Linked DNA regions of Notamacropus eugenii. The protein of the gene in region 3 interacts with the protein of the main gene of each other region in a pairwise test. Links are inferred from orthologs where the notes say so. Each region holds a gene or a part of one and is shown on either strand. Other genes may lie near its edges.

Region 1 (6,969 bases), on a different chromosome or scaffold from region 3:
ATTAATTGTACTCCATGTTGCTATCTTCCATCCCAGTGAATTTATTGTTTTACTAATAACGCATGCCTAGGAAATAATAATTTAAAACTGCCAACTTGCAAGAAAAGCAACTTGGCCCAAGATGAGGAGGGTTGAGGTTAGGGGGTAGGAGGCAGGGACTATGAAAGATGAAGTAGTCTTACCACAATCTAAAGCAAGCCATTACTTTTCAGTAACGTGTCTCGGGGGATTTTTACAGTTGATATAATTCAGGCAAAACTTTAGTTTCAAGTTTCAAGTGAGAGAACATAAACTCAACTGCCTAAAAGAAATCTATCTACCTAGGAAGGTTAGCAGCTGAATCTTCCTGGCAACATTTTTGCAAAGAAAACACCAACTTTAGAAGTCGAGATGACTTCAAGAAACCTTGAATTTCCCAATAATAATTTTAAAAGGTAAATGAACTCAATCCCATTAAAAAAACATGCAGTGGCAAAGTATAAATAATCCTATAGCCTAAAAGAAAACCAGCTTCAGCACAGACTTAATGAGAAATAGTTGTAGTTTTAAACTAAGACCAAACCCCACATATTTGCACAATTATTTTTACAATAAACCTGGATCCCTTTTGGATGTTTCCCAATGTCTAATTAGTATGAATTCCATTGGACCAGACATGTTAAATCAGAAGTTCTTAAACTTTTTTGTATATGTCATGGACATCTTTGGCCATCTGGTTGAGACAAAGTATGGAGCCCTTCTCAGCATGTATTTAAACGCATAAGATGAAATACAGAGGAGTACATAGGAAATCAATCATACTTAAAACTGTTATTCAAAAATTCTACGTTCTTGGAAACAAGAGTAAAAATCTCAGGTCTAAAAGAAATCGTTAATGTTATAATGGGATAATATTTGTAAAGTGTTTAGTACAGTGCCTGGCACATAATATTTGCTTAATAAATGATTTGCTTCCTTTCCCTGTTTCCTTATGTGGGAACTTCACCCCAGTGATATATGGAATTCCCTGCTGAGAAAACACGTTAGACAATGCTGGTGGTGAGGAGAGGGGCAGAGAGGCTAAGTGACTTGCCCAGGATCACACAGGCTTGGAGACATGGCCATCCCATGTGCTCTAGATTATGAAACAACAAATTAACATTTTAGTCTAGATATGGAAACAGGAAACTGTAAGGTGCTGAAAGAAGTCAGTAACCAAAGCGAATGGACAGTAAGCAGATCTTCAACATGCTTTTATTTCAGGAATGTGAATACTTCCACCTTCTCACTTCAGGAGCTAAGAACTACATATCTAGTAATAACGTTATCATAATAACAACATTTTTATGGAACTTTAAGATTTGGAAAGCACTTTACAAACATCATTTCATTTGATGTTCATGAAATCCCTGGGAGGTAGGTGCTATTATTAGCCCCATTTTACAGATAAGGAGACTGAGGCAGAGGGTGGTTAAGTGACTTGCCCAGGGTCACACATTTAGAGCATGTCTGAGGCTATATTTGAACTCAGGTCTTCCTGTCTCAAGGTTCAAATGAAGGGAAGTAGTAATGTGTTCGTCATATGATGTCGAACAGAGGTGAACAAACATCTGTCTCCTCATATTTGAATGACTGAGTGAAGGAGCAGTGTGGCAACTGCGCCCATGAAAGTATCCACAAACTGTTTCCAAAAAGAGCCATGAGTCCTTCTTTGGGATCTGGAGGCTACCACAGTAGGGTTTTTTTTTTTCTGACTTTGAACACATAGCTTGAGTTTTCCTTCTGGCTCTGCCTCCAAGTCTCTGACCTCACTCAAATCACTGGACTCCCCTGGGAAATAAAAATAGAAACCTCCTCCAGTTATTGCAAACTGGACCAGTGACTTCACATGCCTTTGCAAATAGTCTGGCCAGTCCCTCTGGCAAGCAGCGACACAGTTACCAAGCTCGTCCACGACACTCATCCTGCCCCAACCGCGGGACATCTGCTACACCTCAGCTCCAGCTCCTAAGTTCCTTCAGTTACCTACCGAGAACTTCCCCCTCCTGATCAGTTCAAAGCTTCTAGACCCTTTCCTTTCCATTCCATTCCGGTACACAGGCCGGGATGGGGGGATGGGGGGCGGGGGGGGGGGGAGGGAGGGGCGGGAGGGATTGTCAGTCCATATCCTAGAGGCAAGTTCCCTCCCTTTGGCTGGCCTCCTTCAGATCCAGAACAGGGTGGTCCAACGCGGTGCGAACCTGTTGGCACTTCAGCTCGTACGAACTTCCTTTCGGAGCCGCACAACCAAAGAGCCTAAGGAAGGACCAAGTCCCGAACCACCTGAAGCTGCCCCCAAGTCCCGGAGGACGTGTGGGTGGTGTTTTCTTCTCCCCTTTAACTCGCCCAGAAGGATTGCCCTGGGAGGAGGGAAGATGCCTGCCTGCCTGCCCTCCTTAAACTGAGCCAGCGTGGGAGGAAGGACTCAACTTCTGCCCACTCGGGGACTTCCAGTCCTGGGTTCTAAGCACGTCTGAAACCAGAACATTAGGGACGGAGAGACCATCGAGGTATGCCCCGAGGTCTCCCAGATTTTTTTTTTTAAACGAACCCGACCCCAACACAGTCAGCTCCTGGTAAGCGAGGAGCCATCCAGGGAGAAGGTGCCGAGGAAAGAAAGGCGGCGGCGGGGCCCCGGGCTGGCCGCAGCCCGCCCCCTCCCCTCGGGCCAGGCTCCGATCCAGGACCAGTCTGAAGGTGGCCATCACACCCTCTGCCCCTCCCTGAACCCCCGTCCCCTGCCTCGAAACTCACCAAGACGAGCTCTCGGTCCTCCTCACCCCCCACCCACCGCAGTCTGGGTTCGAGGAGGCCCGCACTTACCAGCGCCTAGCGAGCCGAGCCGAGCCGTGCCGAGCCGGAGGTCTGAGCTCGCCGGGGCAGGCGAGGGGGCGGGTCTGAGAGGACCGGGGCGGGCAGCGCAGTTCGACAGGCTTCCGGCTTCTCCCCGCCTCCTGGCCCGGCTCCGGAGAGCTGCAGCCCCGTCCCGTCCTTTCCCGTCCCGTCCCGCCTAGTCTCGCTCTCCGCCCCCTTCCCTTCCCTGCCCAGCCCCTTCCTCTTGTGGCTAAAGGCTCCCTGGTCCTGCTCGTTAGCCGGTGGCTTCCCTCTGGCCGTCCTGTCCAGTTGCTGAAGAGCCCTTTAGCCTCTCCATCCTCTGATTCAGAAACTCTCGGAGTTGGAAGGAGCCTTAAAAATCGTCCAGTCCAGACCTTTTTTAGGTCATGGCCCCCTTTCCAGTCTGGTAAAGCCCTCCTCAGAATCAGAAATGCATGAAATCCATAGGATTACAAAAGAATCCAAAGGTTGGCGAAAATACAGATGTAATTTTTTTTGGCCACGTTCACTGTGCCTTAGAAATCTATCCGCGCCCCACCGCCTTAAGTCCACCGACTCCAGGTTAAGTACCTTTGATCTGGTCCAACTTTCTCATTTTACAGAGGAGGAAACTGAGGCCCAGAGAGAATTAGTCACGTTCCCAGGCTCACAGTTATTTTGGGACACAACTAGATACTAGGACTCGGGGTCACCTAACTCCCAATACATCAGATATCGCACTGCTCTTTTCTCCCTCAAATTTCCTCCCTTTTTGGTCCAGTTTTGCCTTCATTTCCTTCCCCAGTTACACTCTTCTCATCCCCTGTCTGCCCTTCCCAGATTTCAGTCTCCACCCGATTACTTCTTTCTCACACGCTTTGGTGTGGTCCTTCTACAGTCTAACTTCTCCCTGTTCGTTCTCTCAAGAGGAGCCAATGACCACTTCCCCCAGGGGAATTCACTGAGCTGATTATACGCAATCTTTCTTCTGTCCTCTTTGCCCTTTCTAGAATGACCTATTATCGTTGTTGTTCAGTGGTGTCCAACCCATCCCCAACCCCTTTGGGATTTTCTTGGCAGAGATACAGGAGTGGTTTGCCATTTCCTTCTTCAGCTTGTTTTTATAGATAAGGAAACTAAGACAGAGTTAAATGACTTGCCCAGGGTCACACAGTTAGTAAGTATCTGAAACAGGATTTGAACTCAGGTCCTCCTGACTCCAGGACGGGCACTCTATCCACTGGGACAGACCTAGCTGAACCAATGATTTATGTCTGCTCCCATTTTCCATGAATTCTGAGTCACAAATGTCAATGGAAAGCAGTAACTCAAAATCTTATCTCCACCACTAACTTTCTATGCAAAGTTCCTCCACAACTTCCTCCAATTTTCCTTTAATAAACATCAGAGAACTCCATTTTACAATTGGGGAAAGGGAAGCTAGTAGTTGTGAAATGACCTATCCAAGGTCACAGAATAAGTCAGTGACAAATCCTGGACTAGAACCCCAGTCTCATGACTCCCACTCCCAGAGTCCTTCCACCAAAATCACCATGACAACCCAACTCAGTGCAGCAAAACTAGAAGTTTTAAAAGGGGCTATATATCAGTCTGGCAAAGTTTGTGAAAAATTCATCAATAAATCTATGATCTCATCAGAATGGATTGCAACACAGCAAGTATGTTTTATCCTGTTATACTTCTCCATTTCTTTCCATAACACCTCCATAAAGAATCTACCCAACAATGCTTTTCCTCTGATGAGTTAAAAGGTGTGTGCTTATGTGTGTATGAATAAACATTGGACCTGCGATTTCATCAATATAGGGAATGTCTGGTCGTCATCTATGTGTATATATCTATATGGATAGGTACTATATCTATGATTTCATCGGTATAAGGAACTCCCAAGTGAGGAAACTCCCTCTACCAATGCAGATTGGTAACTTCTCTACAATTTATAGTCTTAGAAAATTGTCTAGACCTAAAGCACTGAGATTAAATGATTTGCCCATGGTCTCAAAGCTATACGTGTCAGAGGCAGAGCATGAACCTGGATCTTCTTCACTCCAACGCTGACCTTCTCTGCATTATACCCTGATGTCACTCATCTTCGTCTCTGTAAACTTTCAATAAGTACAGCACTTTAGCAATATATTATTACTTAGAACCAGACCATATGTTTCCTCCATGATAACTGGTTCACTGTCACCTTTCAACTGAAGGGCTCTTTGGCAGACAAAAAGAGACCATATCATTAAGCTATCCCTGAACAGAGTCCTGTACCAGTAAGTAAGAGACTTGGAGGTGGGGATAGGAAAGAAACCAAAATAGTAAAGCAAAAACCAAACTCGTTTGATTTTTTAATATGATGTAGTAAAAATATATCATATGCCTAATTTTCCATGTGTCTTAAAAATTCACTTTTTCTCACAGTTTTTCTTTATCTCCTTTCCCTTGATTCATTGAACATAACAGACATTTAACTCGAGTTTAAGCAATAATCTTTATTTTTTTCAAATGTTTAAAGTTACTAGTAGGACCTTGAGGTTACTTATTAGAATAGTTTTAAACTTATAATCTTCTTTCCTCTCTTAATTTATTTTCTTCCTTTCTTAATTTTCTTCTTTCTTTTTTCCTCTTTCCTTCCAACTTTCCCTCTTCCCTACATTTCTTCTCTCTTCCCTTCTCAATTCCTTCCTTGCTTTCTTAATTCTTTCTTCCTTCCTTTCTTTTTTGTAAAAATTCCGAGGTAAAAAACACCACTTGGATTTCCAACCAGCAGCTTCCCAGCAGGGCACAAAAAAATAATGCCACTTGTTTCATGTGCTACCCTGTTATAACCCTGCAGGAGGAAAAACATACTGACTAACTCCTAGTACACAGGAAACTGAACTCTTGCTACTGCCAAGTCTAGGGAGATTCCAGCTCTCAGTTGACTTCATAGGGGATTTGGAAGTGTATTTGCTATCCTTGGTTACATATGGTATCACATGAACCAGTCTTGAAAGTGGAGCCCTGATTTCAGCTAATTTTTTCTCCCCTCTGGGCGTACATAATCAGACTTGAGCACTATAAGTAGTTGCCAGAGCCAGCCTCTGTAAGTGAACTCTTCCTCTTCACCAAGGCAACTTAGTGGTGCATATATTTATCACTGAACAATGTTCTCTTTTTTCCAAGGCTTCTGAGATCATGCCCTGAAATGGAGATGCAATTGTTTGCCGAGAAAGACATACAAACAGAGCGCTTCTGTGCTAAGCCAGAGAGCCTTGCCTGCAAGCAGGCAATTACCTACAGCTAATTTAATTGTCTGAAGATGGTGACCCTCTGTAATCAGAACAGCAGCCCCTGCCTGGCGGGCAAAGTTAAATCTCGGGGACTTTTCCAGACTGCCTTCTGTGTTTTAGTCTTGTTTTTCATATAAAAGCATGAAAGAGCATCAGCTATGTGTATCCAGTTCTCACCATGGTTCCTGCCTTCACAAGAAGATAAACTGCTCACCCCAAAATAGGATTTAGCCTTTAGCTTGCTTCCCCAAACTTAGAATACCACTCTTCCTTTTAACAGCCAAAGGAGAAGTCATGAAAAATGAGACTGCAGAAAAAGACAACTTCCTTTGTTGTTGTCAGACTTCTCAGAAGAACTGTACACAGATGTCCCCCAGGCTTCCTGGGTCACACTTTCCAGTTCCAGAGATACACTAAGACCAAGGTAATTTGAGTTAGGAATTCAGAATTACCCTTCATGTCTGCAAACAGGTTTGCCACCATTACTTGGCTAATCTTAGCATGTCACTGTCTCCACACCCATCTCAGGGATAGATCTGACCCCAAAGATCACCCAATACTATTTGCTTGGTCTCCAAGCATGAGGTTCTAAGACTCTGAGTTCTGTTTCCATTCACTGGAATCCTTGACAGGTCTTTGACTCTCTCTGATCTCTGTACCTCTCTTTCCCACCTTGGTGTCCTCCCCTTGGTTCCTAGCAAGGACCAGTACTTTGCTAATCCTTCATCAATCAAAGGGACTTCCTTGTCTCTGTCTCCCAGGGCTTTTCTCAATCCCCATACTGCCTGCATGAATTGTTATGTTTCCTGGAATTTGAACCTGAACAATAATGTTTATCCATCAGCAAGCT
Region 2 (7,639 bases), on a different chromosome or scaffold from region 3:
CATGGCTGTTGGGAAAATCAAACCCACCCACTAAGTCTAATGGTTTACACTGCCCTTGTCAAGGATGCTAAAAAAACAAACTGTACATCGATTTTTCAAGGCAATTCCAAATATGATTTGAGCAACTTAACAGCTCCTAGCATTAAGTCCTCCCAAGGTGCTTACTTTGAAAGAGAGAGACAGGTAAGTACGGCTCATATGGCTGGTTGCTAAGAAACCAGGCATATTACTTTGCAGTCACACATTTCAGATAAGCAGGAATGGCAAACCAATGTTATTATAAAACCTTAACATCCATCTCATACACAAAACCAGAACAAATGCTGATACTACTTCCCAAGAATGTTTCTATTCCCTGGCTTTTAAGTCTTAGAGTAAACACACATTTCAAATCCAGGAAAGGTAAGGGGAAAAAACCAGTTATTTATTAACTGATGTTAATAAAGTTAACATCCACAAACTACAGAAGACTTCCTCTGATGATCCTGGCATCCCTGGAGGCCTGGCCTCTACTAGGCCCTGGCTATCCTTATGCTGAAACAGAACAGTACTACAGAGGAGGCTAACACAGATTTTACAGGGCAGAATTCTCTTTTTTCAAAGTATTGAAATAGCTACATTCTAAAGGCCAGATATGAAACCAGTCCTCTCAATAAATGGAAGGAAATGGAGATGCTTTTTTATCAGGACACAAACAAGGCTACACACCAATGATTAGTTTGGGAGACTTTCTCCAAGTCTCTTACCTACCTTGAAGGGCCTAAAGTGCTGAAATGAGTTTCAGTCGTGGTTCATCTCTTTCCATTTGGATTTTTAACAGACAATCAGATGTAGGACTATATCTGGGCAGGGCTGTGACTAGAAGTACTCAGGGCTTAGGGCCAAATGTTCTCTAAGCTTCTAGGAAGTAGCCAGTCACCAAGCATTGATCAAATTCTTACTATGTGCCAGGCACAGGGTTGAGCCCTGGTTTCATATCCTCCTCAGAGCCAGTGGGAAGGGGCAAAAAGTTCCCTGAAATGGGAACAAGGGGTAGGGAGGGCCCTAAAGGCAGGCAGAGTTCACAACATTTTGATGCCCCCAAAACGGTACAGAGAATCACTTCCTTCTCTGGATTGAAGGTCACAAGCTTTTAAGGGACAATGGAGTTCAGTGTGGGCAGAAAGATGAGGATAGTCAGATGAGAATGGGAGGGGCAGTAAGAGAGGACAAGCCTGGTAGGGGGTTGGGAGGAAACATCAGTGGGGCAGATGAACAGGGAACAGGGAGGACATGTCCTAGGACAGTATAATGGGAGGGCCTAGATTTGAGGACACAAGCCTAATCCGTACCTAAGCCATTAACTAGTTAGTGAAATCATGATGTCCAGTGAAGGGCACAGTTATAGACTTTCCTCAGAGGACGATGGGTTTACCTGCTTATGGTGAGATTTGGTTGTCAGGCATACACACATTCATGATACTATTCAAACCAAGATGGTGACCTTAACAGGGCAGGCCTGTCCCTGTCTCTTCCAAGTCCTCCTTCAGGTCAGGGCTGCTAATAACTTCAAGCACTTTAGTGTGTGTGTGTGTGTGTGTGTGTGTGTGTGTGTGTGTGTGTGTGTGTGTGTGTGTGTGTGTGTGTGTGTGTGTGTGAAGGGGTGGTGGTGGCTGTAACTAGAAGGTATGACAGGCCAGGGTCACTCTAAATAGAAGGGTAACTCTGGAAGCAGCAGGTGTGAGCCCAAAGTGTTGTGCTGAGCCACAGATGCTGTGGGAAGCAGGTAGGGGATGAAAGCCGGAGCTGAAGTAATTGGAAGTGGGGGAGGGGGGATGGTAATAGGAGCTGTAAAGAAATTGAGGGGGCGGGGGTTTGGGGGAAGGTGTGGAGCATTGAGGGGGAAAAGGGAAGGAGCTGAGAGACATGGGAGCTGTGAATTCGAAGGAAGGAGAGAAGGGCAGGTGTCACTGGGATGGGGGAGCAGGGGAGCTATGATGTGGATGGGTTCCAGGGGCAAGGGAGCACTGATAGAAGTCCAAGAGCAGGGGCGCTATAAGGGAAGGTTTGTGTTTTTTTTATAAGGATGGGTCCTGGGGCAGGGACGATGTAAATAGAAAGGGGATAAGGCGCAAAGGTAGGGCAGGGTCACTGTGATAGCAGAGAGTTCCAGATACAGAGGCTGTTGTGATAAGGGAGGGGTACAGGGCCAGAGGTAAAGGGGGTGGGGTCTAGAGGCTGGGGGTGGGGTGGGGAGGCATAGGGTCTTTTGTGATGAGGGAGGGGTCCAGGGGTGCTGTGATGGTCCAAGGGCAGGGTCTCTGTGACGGTGTGAGGGGAGCACAGGGGCTGCCCTCAGGGAGGAGGGGTTTAAGGGCAGGGATTCTGTAATGGGAGACAGGAGTTCTGTAGGAGGTTGGAAGAGCAGAAGCTCCTATGAGAAGGGGCAGGGGCTCTGTGATGGGGGTAGGAAGAGACAGGGAGTGCTGTGAGAAGGGAGGGGTCCAGAAACAGGGGCTCCTGAAGTGGGGGCGAGCAGGGGCGTTGTGATGGTCCAAAGACAGGAGTTTCAGATGGGGGGCACGCAGGAGCTCCTTATCGGGGTGGGGAGCGAGCAGGGGCGCTGTGACGGTCCAAGGACAGGAGTTCCAGATGGGGTTCACGCAGGAGGTTCTGATGGGGGGGCTCGCAGGGGCTCTGTGATGTGCGGGGGGGCACAGGGCCAACCCGGGCTGGGCGCGGTCCCCGTTCTCGCGCCGCTGGGCGCTGCGGGCCTAGGCCTCGGACGGGCTGACTGGCGGACCGGAGGCCGGCTCCGCTGCCCCCCCTCCCTTCCCCCCTCCCCCGCGCCCGTCGGGGCGGACACACCCACCTCCCAGCAGGCCCGGCCTCTTACCAGCTCCTCGTCGTGGGTCAGCTCCGGCGCCATGTCGAGCCAGGGCCCCGGCCCCGGCCCCGGCCCCGCCTCGGGCCCCGGCTCCATCGCGGAGAGCGGTGGCGGCGGCGGCGGCGGCGGCGGCGGCGGCTCGGGCCGCCAGCCCAACCCCCGCCCGGCCTGGCCTGGCCTGGCCCGGCCCGGCGCTGCCCGGCCCTGGTCGTCCTCCGCCTCCTGCGCCCTCCCCGCCCCCGCCCCCCGGCGCGGCCAGATGTGGCTGCGCGCCCCCGGCCCCAGGTGTGCCTGGGCCGGCGCCCCCCAAGGGCACCACCGGCTGGGCAACTAAAAGCAAAACCAAATCAAACAAAACAAAAATCAGAGCCAAAGGGGAAAAACAATCGGATTTGAAAAGGTAAAGGGGGGCGGGAAAGATCTCCCTCCTTCCCCCCGCCTTTTCCTAAACCTCGAACCCCCCTCGCCCTCCTTCCCCTTCCTCGCTATTTCCTACTGCTGCTCGGCCCCTCGACTCCCCCCACACCCCCGGCCTGAGCTGGGCAGCCACGCATGGTCCTGCCTTTCTCCCGGGCTCACTAGAGGGGGTGATGAGGAATCCTCTAACTCTCCTCTTGCCTCATCCCTCTACACCCCCCCACCCCCCCCCAAAAAACAGAGGAAGCAAGTATTCTATAAGAAAAAACGTTCAATGAAAAATAAAAACTTTTTCGGGCTGTGTCCTAGCGCTTGAAATCCCCCTGACACAGACTGAAATACCCTCCTGACCTTCCAGAATACTCCTACTCTGAGCCCACAAATCCCCTCCGTATCTGAACTGTCCTGAGAGGATCCAAACCCTACCCCGCCACCTCCGTCTCTGCCTCCTCAAGTCCTTATTCCTCAAAAGCAGCCACGGAGAAAGAGAGAAAAGAGGAAGGAAGGAGAAGACATCCCCCTCCCCTTCTCACGGCCAGTGCTGCTGCCCCTGATCAGCCTGAACCTCCAGCAGCTCCATTCAGAAACTGCCTCATTCACAAACAGCGGGAGAGGAGGAAGCAGGCAGAGAAAGAGGGTCTCTCCAAGAGAGGGAGACAGAGAGGAATCCGGGAAGGGAGGGAGAGAGGAAGAGAGGAACTGGGTGGGGGAGGGTGATGGCAGAAAAGGGCTTTGGGGGAGGGAGAAATCTCCCTGGGGGTTGAAGGAGCAAAGCGGAAAAAGAGAGTGTCTGTGGAAGAAAGATAAAGGGAGAAGGGAGTATGTGTTTTCACAAGAGACTTGATGCTCCATAGTGGAGGAAGGGAATATATTACAAGTCGGAGAAGTCTCTACTGAGATGAATTTTAACTTGGATTCACTTTCAGCTACCACCCAAATGTTCGAAACCCACAAGCCTCTTTCACTGCCGATGCCAATTTCAGGCTGAATGGGACCCTTAAAAAGGTTGCCAAACAGGGCAAGCGCTATTGGGTCCAAGCAACCAGCCTGTTTGATCACTGTACCATCTCTCTATTTTGTTGTTGGCTGTATCCTGTAATCCATCATCGACTTGACTATTTTTAGTTCTCCCAAAAGAAAACATCCTTCTCCAAACCTTTGCCTCATTCTGGAATCTCTTTGCTTTCAAAAGCCTTTGAATGTCATTCAGATTCACATAGCCAAAAGGGCTATGTTACTGGGTTGCCAGTTTAGGATAACAGAGGAGGTTAATGCTGTACTCCCACCCCCATGGTTGTGGATCATGCCACAACCTCTGCAATCAAGCATTTAAAAAAATACCTAGTGTGTGCCAGGCATACAAAGACAGAAGTGAAAAGTTCCAGCCCTTTAAGTAGGAAGTTGGAGAGGGGGAGGACAACATGCATGTATAAGTATGTACAAAATAAATACAAGGTCATTTTTTCAAGCAAAGGCACTGGCATTTGGAGGATGTCAAGAGGAAGGTGGTGCTTGAGCTGGGTCTTGAAGAATCTAGAGGATTCTGAGAGATGGAGGTAAGGAGGGAAGCCATCATAGGCAAAGGGGACAGTTAACAAAGGCACTCAGGAGGGACATGGAGTGTCATCTCTGAGGAAGAACAGTAAGAAAGCCCATATGTCCAGCCTCTGGAGTTCAGGAAAGGGACTAGAGCTAGGACTTCAATTAGCTTTTTTTTGCATCAGATTTTAGAAATCTTCCGATAGGGATCCATGATTAAGTCAATGCTTAAGCAGCTAAGCCAGTCACCCAGACCACTGGCAACTCAGGTCTGAATCTAGCCACCCTGTTACTTTCAGACACTGGAAACCCTCTGGGTCACAGAGCAGTTAGACTTTTGACTGAGAGACAAAGACAGGGCTTAGCAATTATGGAAAAGCTCAGTCTTCATTTTAATCCCATTTAGGTAACTATTTTGAGAAAGTTACCTGGCCTTTCCTCAGTTTCCTCATCTGGATTTGGGCTATACTGTCTAACCTCCATGCTGGCAACTTCAGTATTTTATTTGACCATCCCTCTTCTCCATCTCGAATTTCCATCTAATTGACTACCAAGTTCTGGCAACTCTCCCCCTCTAATATCTTCTTGAATTGATCACCTCTTTTCTACTGCCACTGCTATAACCCTGCTACAAGATTTCATTACCACCAGGCTACCCTACTGCCATACTTCCTAATTTGTTTTCCTACCTCCATTCTCTTCCTAGTCAAATCCCATGATAATTACACTTATACAGATCTGACAAATGTCACTCCTCTGTTCAGCACTCTCCCAGAGCTCCCTATGGCCTATTGAGTAATCTGGGTTTCAAGGCCCTTTACAATGACAATGTTTCTGCTTCTTCATTGAGGCAGTCAAACTGGACCACATTGGCTATGGTCCGGCATTTTCCTTTTGCACCTTTGCTGATGCTTCCTGTACTTCTCTAGCTGTCTCAGACTTTCTTCATCTCCACCCCAGACTTGAAGGTTTGGCTCAAATCCCTCCTTTCTAGGATAACATTTGGTCCCTCCTTTATGCTCTCATTACATTCTGTTTTTGAACTTTACGTCATATAGAGTATTGAAGATTTGTACATGTTTCTTAGTGCCTAGGACAGTGCTTTGCACATCATTAAGCATTTAATAAATGGTTGCTGAATAAATGGATGGGTGGACATCTGGTGCTTGGTAATGAAAGGTTAGACCATTGCCATTTTGTAGGATATGTATTTTATTCCCTTTAGCATTACAAAACTAATACAGTTGCAAGATCAATATGAGATTAACTCTTCCTGAGGGCAGGCTCTGTTATTTAACTCATTTGTGAGTTCTTGGAGCAATCAAACACAGTTCAAACACAAATCCAAACAACACAATTCACATGAAGCCTGAAGTAGGGGTAGATGGTTAAACCTCTCTTGGTGGGACTTTCTTTTCTGAAGCACTTGGAACTCAGGCTTCATAGAAGCAGCCAATGTTCTAGAGGGATTTGGAGGAGGCTGAGGACGCACTGGGAGCTGGCTAGGGAGACGAGGGGAAGGCTGTTTGGGGGATGAGGGCAGGATGAGTCGAAGGCCTGGAGCCAAGAGGAAAAAGGGGATAAACGGGCATAGGAAGTCTCAGGCAGAGCACAGTAATAATTAATAATTACATGAATACTCTTTCTTTCAAAGAGCTCAGAGGATCAGAGGGGACCCAGAAAGGTAGTATGACAAAGCACTAAATGTGTTGATAAGCTAAAGTGGTTATAAAAAAATGAAAGACAACCTGATGAAAGAAGGAGGGGGGAAAAACATAACCAGAAAGTGGATGAATCTGAGAGGATAAGAGGGAAGGAGACAACACAGCCTCGTCATAGGACCCTAGAGCATCAGTGTCATCTAGTCCCACCCTTTCATACATATATTGTTTAATATGATTGTACATGTATAATCTACTTCAGATTTGGGTGGAAGGTAGTGAGGGAGAAAAAATTTGGAATTAAAAATAATGTAAATGTTGAAAACTATCTTTATATGTAACTGGAAAAAAATAAAATACTATTAAGTGGAGGGGAAAGCCATATACACAGAACTGATTTAAGCATGACCAGATTAATACCATGTGGTAAGCAGAGCACATAGTTAGATCCTGGGGAATTAATAGGAGTCAGCAGTCCCAACAGCTTCCTGAAACAACCCAGAATTGTAGTCAGTCTATGAGATCTAGTTTGAGAGCTTACCCTGTCCTGACATTATCACAGCAGTGGGAACTATCTACAAACCTCAGTCTGGAAGCATCATAGACTATGAGTTGGAAGAAACCTTAAAGGTTGCCCAGTCTCATCCTATTTTTTTAGAATCACGCATTTCTAAATCAGGGACTATCTGTATTTCAAGCCAAGTACTTACTAAGCACCTACTGTGTGAACAAGACCAAAATGAACAAGGCCCCTCCCACCACATTTTATAGATGGATGAGCAGAAACCCCTAAAGGTGGGGTGACCTGCCTACGGCAGCAGGCATTGGGAGCTGAGATTTGGATCCAGCTGTGGTTTCCAGGGCTGGTGTAGGTGTGTGACCTTCGGATGTTTGGGGAAATGGGGTAGCAACAGGTAAGAAGGAACAAGGAGGATGGATGGGAAAGGGGTTGAAGGGAAGACCTTACTTCCTCTTTCTAATAATGACCAAAGTATTACCAGCTCCCATCTTTTGAGCTGGAGAGTATGCCGGTGGCCCCTGATGGAGGAAGCTAGTAAGGATGGGTTGTATTTAATTAAGTCACAATCACCAAACTAGCTCAATGGAAAAAGCTATCTGGAGTGCAAGGTCAAAGCCACAGCAAACCTCAGTCATT
Region 3 (7,989 bases):
GTTCTTGAAGAGGAGCATGACGCCAACATGATGACGTGACTTGCAGTAGACTTTGATATGAATGAGGGAGGGCTGTGCAAGGCCACCAAACTCACTTTCTTTTCCTGAGCCATCTGGGTGCTGTGGCCAGATATTCATCAGGATGACTGGAGATAGCCCAGGATGCAATAGCCCTTTTAGGGCTAGCATTCTCACTTTGAGTGAGATACATCCCTTCAATGAACAGACTTCTTTAAGCAGTTGCTCAAGGGATGATCCCTTTAATCAAAAAAAAAAAAAAAAAGCACTGTGGCCACTTCTACTCCTTCCATTACCTTTTTTTTTTTTTTTTACCTTTTATACAATGTTATGTTTTAGTGCCAGAAAATTCCCTTCCCTCTAAATATTATCTTTTAATTTATCAGGTAGTCAAGTTGCAAGTCTTAGTATTAACAATGGAGCCTCAGTAGAGGAATAATTTTCAACCATCACTAGGGTTAAAGTAACAAAGTCTGCCAGGGCAAGGGGGAGGAGGCCCAGATTTCTCAATTACTAGCTCTGGAGCTTGAGTTCTTGCCTCTGAAGTTTACTATTAGGCAAGCTACATCCTTACCTGTGCCTCAGTTTCCTCCTCTGTGAAATTGATTTTACACTCAGTCCCTTTCAGCTCTAGCTCCATTGTTAATATCTAAATATCTAATAATCTAAAAAATGGCAATGTATAAAAGCAAAAAAAAAAAGTAGCTAACGGAAGGCATGGAAGTGGCCCCAGTTGCCAAGGGCTAGAGCTTATGGAGACAGACTCAGGAAGATGGTAGACAGCCCATGGATTTGGCAGAAGAGTCGGCAGTCCCGTTCAGCTGGAATGCAAAGTGTATAAACAAGAGTATTCACTTGGCAAAGAGGCCAGCTCCTAGCAAAACTTTTCTCCTGAGCTCCAAACTCCACCGGGGTGTCCCACAGGTACTTTAAATCCTACCTGGTCAAAACCCAGCTCCACGTATTCCTTCTCAGTCCCTCTGTCAAAGCCAGTTTCTAGCTAGGCAGCCTGGCTCCCTCCCCTCCACTCTGCTGCAGGGTAAGGCATCCTAGGTTAGGTGCAGCTTTTCTGTCAGAATTGGCTACCTAGTATCCCATTGATTTGTGAACAATTTTATCTTATCTCTCAAAATTATCGGAGGTCAGGGATTGGGTTTCCCCCCCCAGTGAGTACATGTTATCCCCCTAAGTCAGTACCTTTTAAAAATTCATTTGTTGCAAAGCAAGGGCCCAGCACAGAGCTGAATGGCTTAATAACTTGTTTACTGAGAATGAGAAAGTATAATGGTGTCGGGAGGAATCTGTGCCAGTGTTGGGGGGAGGGGGTAGCCAGGGAGGATCAGAGTACGTATGGAGAGGGCAGTACAATGGCTGAATGCTGGGGGATGGGGAGGAGACTGTGCCTGGGGGTGGGGGTGGAGTGAGAAGGCTTGAGAAGCTCCCACCTGAAGGCCAGGAGGGGTGAAGAAGGTGGCATCCATGCCCTTGGCAGAACCCAGAGCCCTAGAGAGGCTGCCCGGGTGTCCTACCTGCCCCAAATTGACAAAGCCGAACTTTCGGGCCAAGCGCTCGGCCTCCTGGCTGCCTCCAGGCAGCAGCACAGCCCAACTGCTAACATAGATGGGGACCGCTGAGAAGTGGCCCCCTCGACGCCGGCCGCGACCCCGGCCGGTCACTAGTTCTTGTCTGGGCTTCTCTGGGGAGATGGAGACTAGAACCCGGGTTAAGGCCAGGGCTAGGACCAAGGTCGGAAATAGGGTCCGAACCAACCTCAGCCGGGTCCAGCCCAGCCCCATGGTAGTCGGGGGCCGGGGGAAGCCCCTTCCACCGGACAAACAGTCTCTAGGGTCCCGGGGGGCGTTGTTTAAATGCCCCCTCCTCCCACCCCCACCCCCCGGCAAGAATGGAGTAGCCCCGACCCCTGGGAACCAGAGTGAAGCAACCCCCGATCCCTGGACGCCTCTTCTCGGCTCCATGGCAACCCCTTCCCCCCACCCCCGGGGGGGGGGGGGCTTCATTCCCAGGGGGCCATGCGACCACCTAACTGTATACGGCCGGGGATCGGGTTGGGAAACCGGCCCCCGGTGCCTTGGGGAGTGGGGGAGGACTACCGGGAGAAGGAGACACCCCAGGGGAGTGGGAACAGGATAGGACCTTCTCTCTTCTAGTTCCCTCTTCCATCCTCATTCTTAACCTGGAGAACCAGGTTCGACTTCTGATTTCATCAGTCTCGCTGTGTAACCTTGGGCCAGTCATGCCCCACTTTTGACTCTCAGTAGTCTTCTGTGTAAAGAGAAGGTTACACTAGATCAGGGTTGGGGAAACTGCGGCTTCAAGGCCACATGTGACCCTCCACGTCTTCAAGTGTGGCCCTTTAACTGAATCCAAACTTCACCGAACAAATCCCCTTAATAAAAGTAGGTTCCCCACCCTGGCACTAGATTCGATCTCTAAGTCAGAAAAGGTCTTTCCAGAGAGCATTTAATTAGTGGCAAAGAGGGTGGCCTGAGGCTAATTATGGGCTTTCTCTGATTTGAGTTGATTCAGTCATTCAGTAGCAACTGCTAGAGTTTTCTATAGTACTTTACAGTATACCCTGCAAATACTGAAATCCCCATTTTAAAGAGGAACAAAGTGTGGCACGGAGAAGGGAACTGAACTGACTTGTCCAAAGTCACACTGCTTTGCTAGTCAATCGGTTAGTCCATAAATGTGCCAGATACTGGGTGCTAAGAGCTGGCATTGTAAAGAAAGTCAAATGTTCTCCAAGGACTTACAATCTAATTGTATGGGGAAACACCACGAAGATAACTTCGTATAAACAAGCTGTATTCAGGATAAATCTGAGATAATCAACAAAGGGAAAGCACTAGAATTTAGTGCCATGGAGAAAGGCTTCCTGTAAAGGGTGGGATTTTTAGCAAGAGGCAGAGCTGGAATTTGACTGTTTCTGCTCTAATAATTTCATCTAATCATGTCCTAAGTCCTATACATTGATCTTGTCCATCTCTAGCTTCATCATGGCTCCTACCCTAATTCGGACCACTGGATGGTCCAGCTGAACTGCCCTATTTGCTTGTTAATTTCCTTGTACAATCTTTTGTTTTGATGTTTGTACTGGCTGTGCCCTCCCTCCTATCTGAGGTATTTCTACCCTCCCCCCTACCATGGAACTAGGGTTCCTCCCCTAGCCCGTAACCTTGGATTTATAATGTGTATATTTTGTATGTATTTTCATTTGTGTCTTTATGTCCCTGGCATAGTGTCTGGCACGTAGTAGATGTTATAAATTCTTCTGACTGATTGATTCATCACTTCTAGCCTAACTGATCTCCCTGTCCACCCTCCCTTCTCCAATTTATCTTATACTAAAAGCCAAGATAATCCATCTATCTAGGGTCCAAATTTGACCATATCACTCCCTTGCTAAAAATAACCTTCAGGAGGCAACTAGGTGGCTCAGTGGAGTGAGCACTGGCCCTGAAAGTCAGGAGAACCTAAGTTCAAATGCAGCCTCAGACACTTGCTAGCTGTGTGACCCTGAGCAAGTCACTTAACCCCATTGCCTAAAATAATAAATAAATAAAATTTAAAAATAACAACCCCAAACCTTCAGTGGTTCCCTATTGCCTATACGCTAACATACAAATTTCTCAGTCTCCATAATCTGCCTCCAACCTACCTTTCCAAATTCATTTTTACATTCTATCACTCCTCTTTAGGAGCTCTATATTCCAGGTAAACTGTCCTGTTGTTTTCTCAAACTCAAAGAGCTACTATCTCCCTGGACTGGCTCCAGTTCTTTCCATTCCCCACCCCCCATAACTGGAATGCATTTCCTCCCCATCTCTGCTTCTCAGAATTTTTGCCCTACTTCAATGAAGTACTAGATTTAACTTCCAAGGTAACCTTTCCACTGAATTTTATTGCCCAACAAAATAGGGCACCACTCCCTTTCTTGTATCATTTTTATAATAAAGATAAAAACAAGTATTTACTACAGAATGCTTTAAAATTGACAAGAAGCTTTGAACATATTATCTCATTTGGTTTTTCACAACAACCCTATGAGCTAGTTCTATTAGTATTCGAATTTTACAGACAAAGAAACTGAGACTGAAGGAAATTAAGTGACTTGCCCAGGGTCACACAACTTGGTAAGTGTACATGTATCTTCTATTACTTTAGAACACAAGCTCCTTGTGGGCAGGAATTGTATACTTTTTATTTGTGTGTCCCTGACCTTCAGAACTGAGCACTGTGCCATACACAGAGGCATTTAATCTTTGTTGAATGAACTAGGTCTTTAGTTTCCAAATTCAGGGTTCTTTCCACTACATCACATTGCGTTCCCAAACATTTATTGAACTCCTGCTGTGTGCAGAATACTAAGTGGAACTTCTTCATGGGATGTCAAGAGGGAGGAAAAATTTGGAATGTAAAATGGACCAGGGTGGAGGCTGGGGGGTGGGGAGAAGCATAAGACTGGTTCACCGGGGTACTTCGGCTCCAGGTGTGGGAGTAATGAGTTTGGAAGCCCAAGGATTAGTTAGGAAGGAGAGGGAGAGGGAAAGGAGAGGTGGGGAGGAGCCTAGACTGGCTGGGGTCTGGGAGTGGGAGGGACGTTAACTTACCTAGGAGACCTGGCACTTGTGGACCTTGAGGGGGCCCATAAATAAAGAACTGGGCCTTCCTGGTCTCCCCTGGGTCTCCCCTAGCCTCTCGCCTACCTGTCTCCTCCGCGTCCCAGTTCTCTCCCAGGCCCAGCCCCCTCTTTTCTCTCCCGCCTAGCTCACAGGTGGGTGGCTCGGGGCACTCGGTGCGAGGAGGGGCAGGAACGGGTTGGGAGAAAAGTCCCGCCTCCTTTGTCCGTTCCGCGTTCTCATTGGCCAGTGTGGGCAGGGTGGGCCGACCGAGGCCCCGCCTCGATTTTCCGTCCAATCCTATAGTCAGGGGGCGGATTCAGGTCGTCCCCAGCAGTTGCAGGACCACGAGGTGGGAGGGAGGGAAGGAAGGGGAGGGACCGGGGGACCGGAGGAGTGGAGGTACTGGGAGCCTGGAGAGGGAGACACCACCAGCACCGCTGCAGAGCAGCGGGGAAGCCCTGGAGGTCGCCCCTTGGACCCGGGTCCAGTCATCCTCCGTCCCCTCTCCTCCCCCCTCGGTCCCAGGAGCCATGGGTAGCTTGAAGCAGCGCTTCCAGAGGTTCCTGGAGCAGAAAAACTTTGTCACCGATGTCCTGGGCAAGCTGGAGGAAGTCACCGGGGTCAGAAAGTACTACATGGCTACAGGTAAGGACCTCCGGGCCCCCTCCTCCAGATAAAACCTTGGGCGCTCAGAGATCCTCTGGCCATAGAAACTTAGAGTTAAGAAATCGAAAAGCTGCATCTCATTCCCCATATTGTAGATGAAGAAGCCAATGCCCAGTGAGATAAGGGGAATTCCCTAGGTTGTTCAGAAAAGACCAGAACCCGAACCTCTTAGTTCCTGGTAGGGCTCTTTATGGAAATTGTTGTACTTGCTACCCTTGGTAATTCATATTCTCTGTCCTCTCTCCACCACCTTTAATTAACTGGCTTGAAATGTCATGGGTTGGGGGTTGATCTGCTATCATCCCACAGCGGCAGCTGGAAAAGTTCCAGCATCACCCCTGGATTGCAGTCCCTCCCAAGGGGGCAAGTAGGTAGGGGAAGATTCCCTCGTATTTATAGGAGTTGTAGCTTGAAGAGCCCTATTCTGGTGCTCAGGACCCCAAATCACACAACTGTAGAATAACCTTGGAACACGGAACCACAGAATTGGGAAATGATCTAGGGCCATCTAGTGTAGCTCTCTCTGTTAATGGAGGGGGAAACCAACCCTTGCCTAAAGTCACACAAAGGCCAGAAAGAATGGGGGAGGGGACAGTATAGTGCCTGAGGCTAAAGCAGCTTAGCTCGGGTAAAGGAGGACCTGAGAGGTGGGGCCAGTACTACCAATAACTAGCCTGTCTGGTCCTAATGGAGCAGATCAGCCTCCTAGGGACACTTTACTTCCAGGACTTTTAGGCAGTCAGGTCTAGTTCTCTGTTCTCAGGACCCTTCTAGGAGTTTTCCTGGGCCCATCTGGGAAACCCTGCTTGGTGGGGACGAGTATCATATCATCTTGCCCTTTGATATCCCCCAGCTCTTGGACTTTGAGAGTGCTGTGCCAGGCACATTCTGAGAGAGGCCATGTTGAAAGTCTGACTTGGGCACCCAGAGGTCTACTGAGCCTGGGTCCAGGCTCTCTCCCTTTTTGGGGCCCTCTTCGAAGGAGATCCCCAGATTATCTGTTTCTGGTCCTTCCAGTTGCTTGGTCTGCTCTGGGGCAAGGGGGAGGAGGTGGCTGGCTTCGTGGGACAGAGCACAGAATGGTTGTGCTGCCTTTGTGCAAGGCCCTGGCAGACAGCCCTAGGGGCCAAAGCCCAGCCTGGGAGGCTGGGCCAGGGAGTTCAAGTTTAATCTCTGACAACCCACCCTATGTCTCAAGGCTGATTCCAGGGGTGATTCCAGTTCATACCAACTTCGGGGAGCACTTCCAATATTCTCTCCCTCCTGGTGCTTCAGATACTTAGCATATTCCTGACACTGCTTTCAATTGAATTTGTAAAGCTCTCAGTTGAGCTTCTCTGTAAGTAGCAGAGTAGAGATGAGGCCTGGAGTAAGAAGACCTGAATTTGAATGTGACCTCAAATACTTACTGTGTGACCTTGGGCAAGTCATTTAACCTCTGTCTGCCTCAGTTCCCTCATCTGTAAAATGGAGATCTTAACAGCACCTCTCTGCCAAAGTAGTTGTGAGGATTGAAGTCGATAACATTTGTAAAATTTAGAACTATATAAATTCTAGCTACTTGTTACATGTCAGTTGATAGATTGTTAGAGCCAGAAGAGACTCCCATTCAGGGTTTTCTTGACAAAGATAGTGAAGTAGTTTGCCATTTCCTTCTCCAGCTCATTTTCCAGGTGAGGAAACAGTATTAAGGCAGGCAGACAGTATTATGTGACTTGCCCTGGGTCATACAGCTAGTAAATGTCTGAGGTCAAGTTTGAACTCAAGTCTTCCTGACTCTAGGCTCACTGTGCCACCTAGCTGCCCAAGAAGAGACCATATTAGCTTGCATTCACTTACCTCTCTGTACAGGTTTCTTCCTCTAGTAGGATGTAAGTTCTTAGAGGGCAGGTTGTTGAATTAAATGGAATATGCCTTCTCCTCCCCATCTCCCCAGTTTTCAGAGGAGAAAACTGAGACCCAGGAAAGTGAAATATCTTGTTCATGATTACCCAGCTCCCTCAGATGATGATGATCAAGGTATAGTGGCTAGAGCACTGCACTTGCAATCAGGAAGACCCGGCTGCAGTTGCTGGCTCTGCTAGTTGTTAGTAGAGGTCAGCTGTGGTCAGCTCACCTCTCCGAGAGTCTTTTTCTATAAAATGGGGGTAATAACTGCACCCACTTTACTGAGTTGTAGGGCTCAAATGAGATATAACAAGTAAGTAAAGGCACTTGGAAACCTTGTTCAATATAGAAAGGTTTTTAAAGTGCTTTATTATACTTACTATTTCCTATTCAAACTTTAACCTGCAGTGAGGCAGATAGTATTATTATCATCCCCATTTTACAGATGAGGAAACTGAAACTCAGACTGTGGTCACCCAGTTAGCAAGTGGCAGAGGGGGCATTCGAACACAGATCTTATTCGCTCCAAGCCCTACCGCTCCTCAGTACCCCAAAATACTGAGGTCAACTTAACTCCCCTTAGAGATGAGAAAACTGGAGCCCACAGAGCAGAGGTGATTTGTGCAAGGTCCTACCCTCAGTCAGCAGGACAATTGTGCAGAATTCTCATTATCTCATTCCCCACAGAAGCTGTTTGAAATTATGTCTTTCTTCAAGCCTCCTAAACTCTCCCCTCCCCAACCTCTTAGCTGAAGATCTTTTCTTCTCTTTA

The links.
Region 1: the proteins of REEP6 (region 3) and LITAF interact in binary tests that used the Homo sapiens proteins (3 or more experiments, as listed by UniProt). The two-hybrid records come from large-scale screens. The link is inferred for Notamacropus eugenii from reciprocal best matches to the Homo sapiens genes REEP6 and LITAF.
Region 2: the proteins of REEP6 (region 3) and PTPN9 interact in binary tests that used the Homo sapiens proteins (3 or more experiments, as listed by UniProt). The two-hybrid records come from large-scale screens. The link is inferred for Notamacropus eugenii from reciprocal best matches to the Homo sapiens genes REEP6 and PTPN9.

The regions. Positions count from the first base shown.
Region 1 is NC_092872.1:91,387,470-91,394,438, forward strand, and holds the start of LITAF (lipopolysaccharide-induced tumor necrosis factor-alpha factor), read right to left. Parts: upstream 3,037-6,969; 5' UTR 2,842-3,036; intron 1-2,841.
Region 2 is NC_092872.1:240,285,381-240,293,019, reverse strand, and holds the start of PTPN9 (tyrosine-protein phosphatase non-receptor type 9), read right to left. Parts: upstream 3,020-7,639; 5' UTR 2,963-3,019; coding exon 2,876-2,962; intron 1,540-2,875; exon of another isoform or gene 1,454-1,539; coding exon of another isoform or gene 1,415-1,453; intron 1,135-1,414; exon of another isoform or gene 751-1,134; intron 1-750. UniProt on the Homo sapiens protein: Protein-tyrosine phosphatase that could participate in the transfer of hydrophobic ligands or in functions of the Golgi apparatus.
Region 3 is NC_092875.1:62,873,726-62,881,714, forward strand, and holds the start of REEP6 (receptor expression-enhancing protein 6), read left to right. Parts: upstream 1-4,950; 5' UTR 4,951-5,194; coding exon 5,195-5,309; intron 5,310-7,989. Other genes in the region: PCSK4 (proprotein convertase subtilisin/kexin type 4), read right to left, coding at 1,548-2,036. UniProt on the Homo sapiens protein: Required for correct function and survival of retinal photoreceptors. Required for retinal development.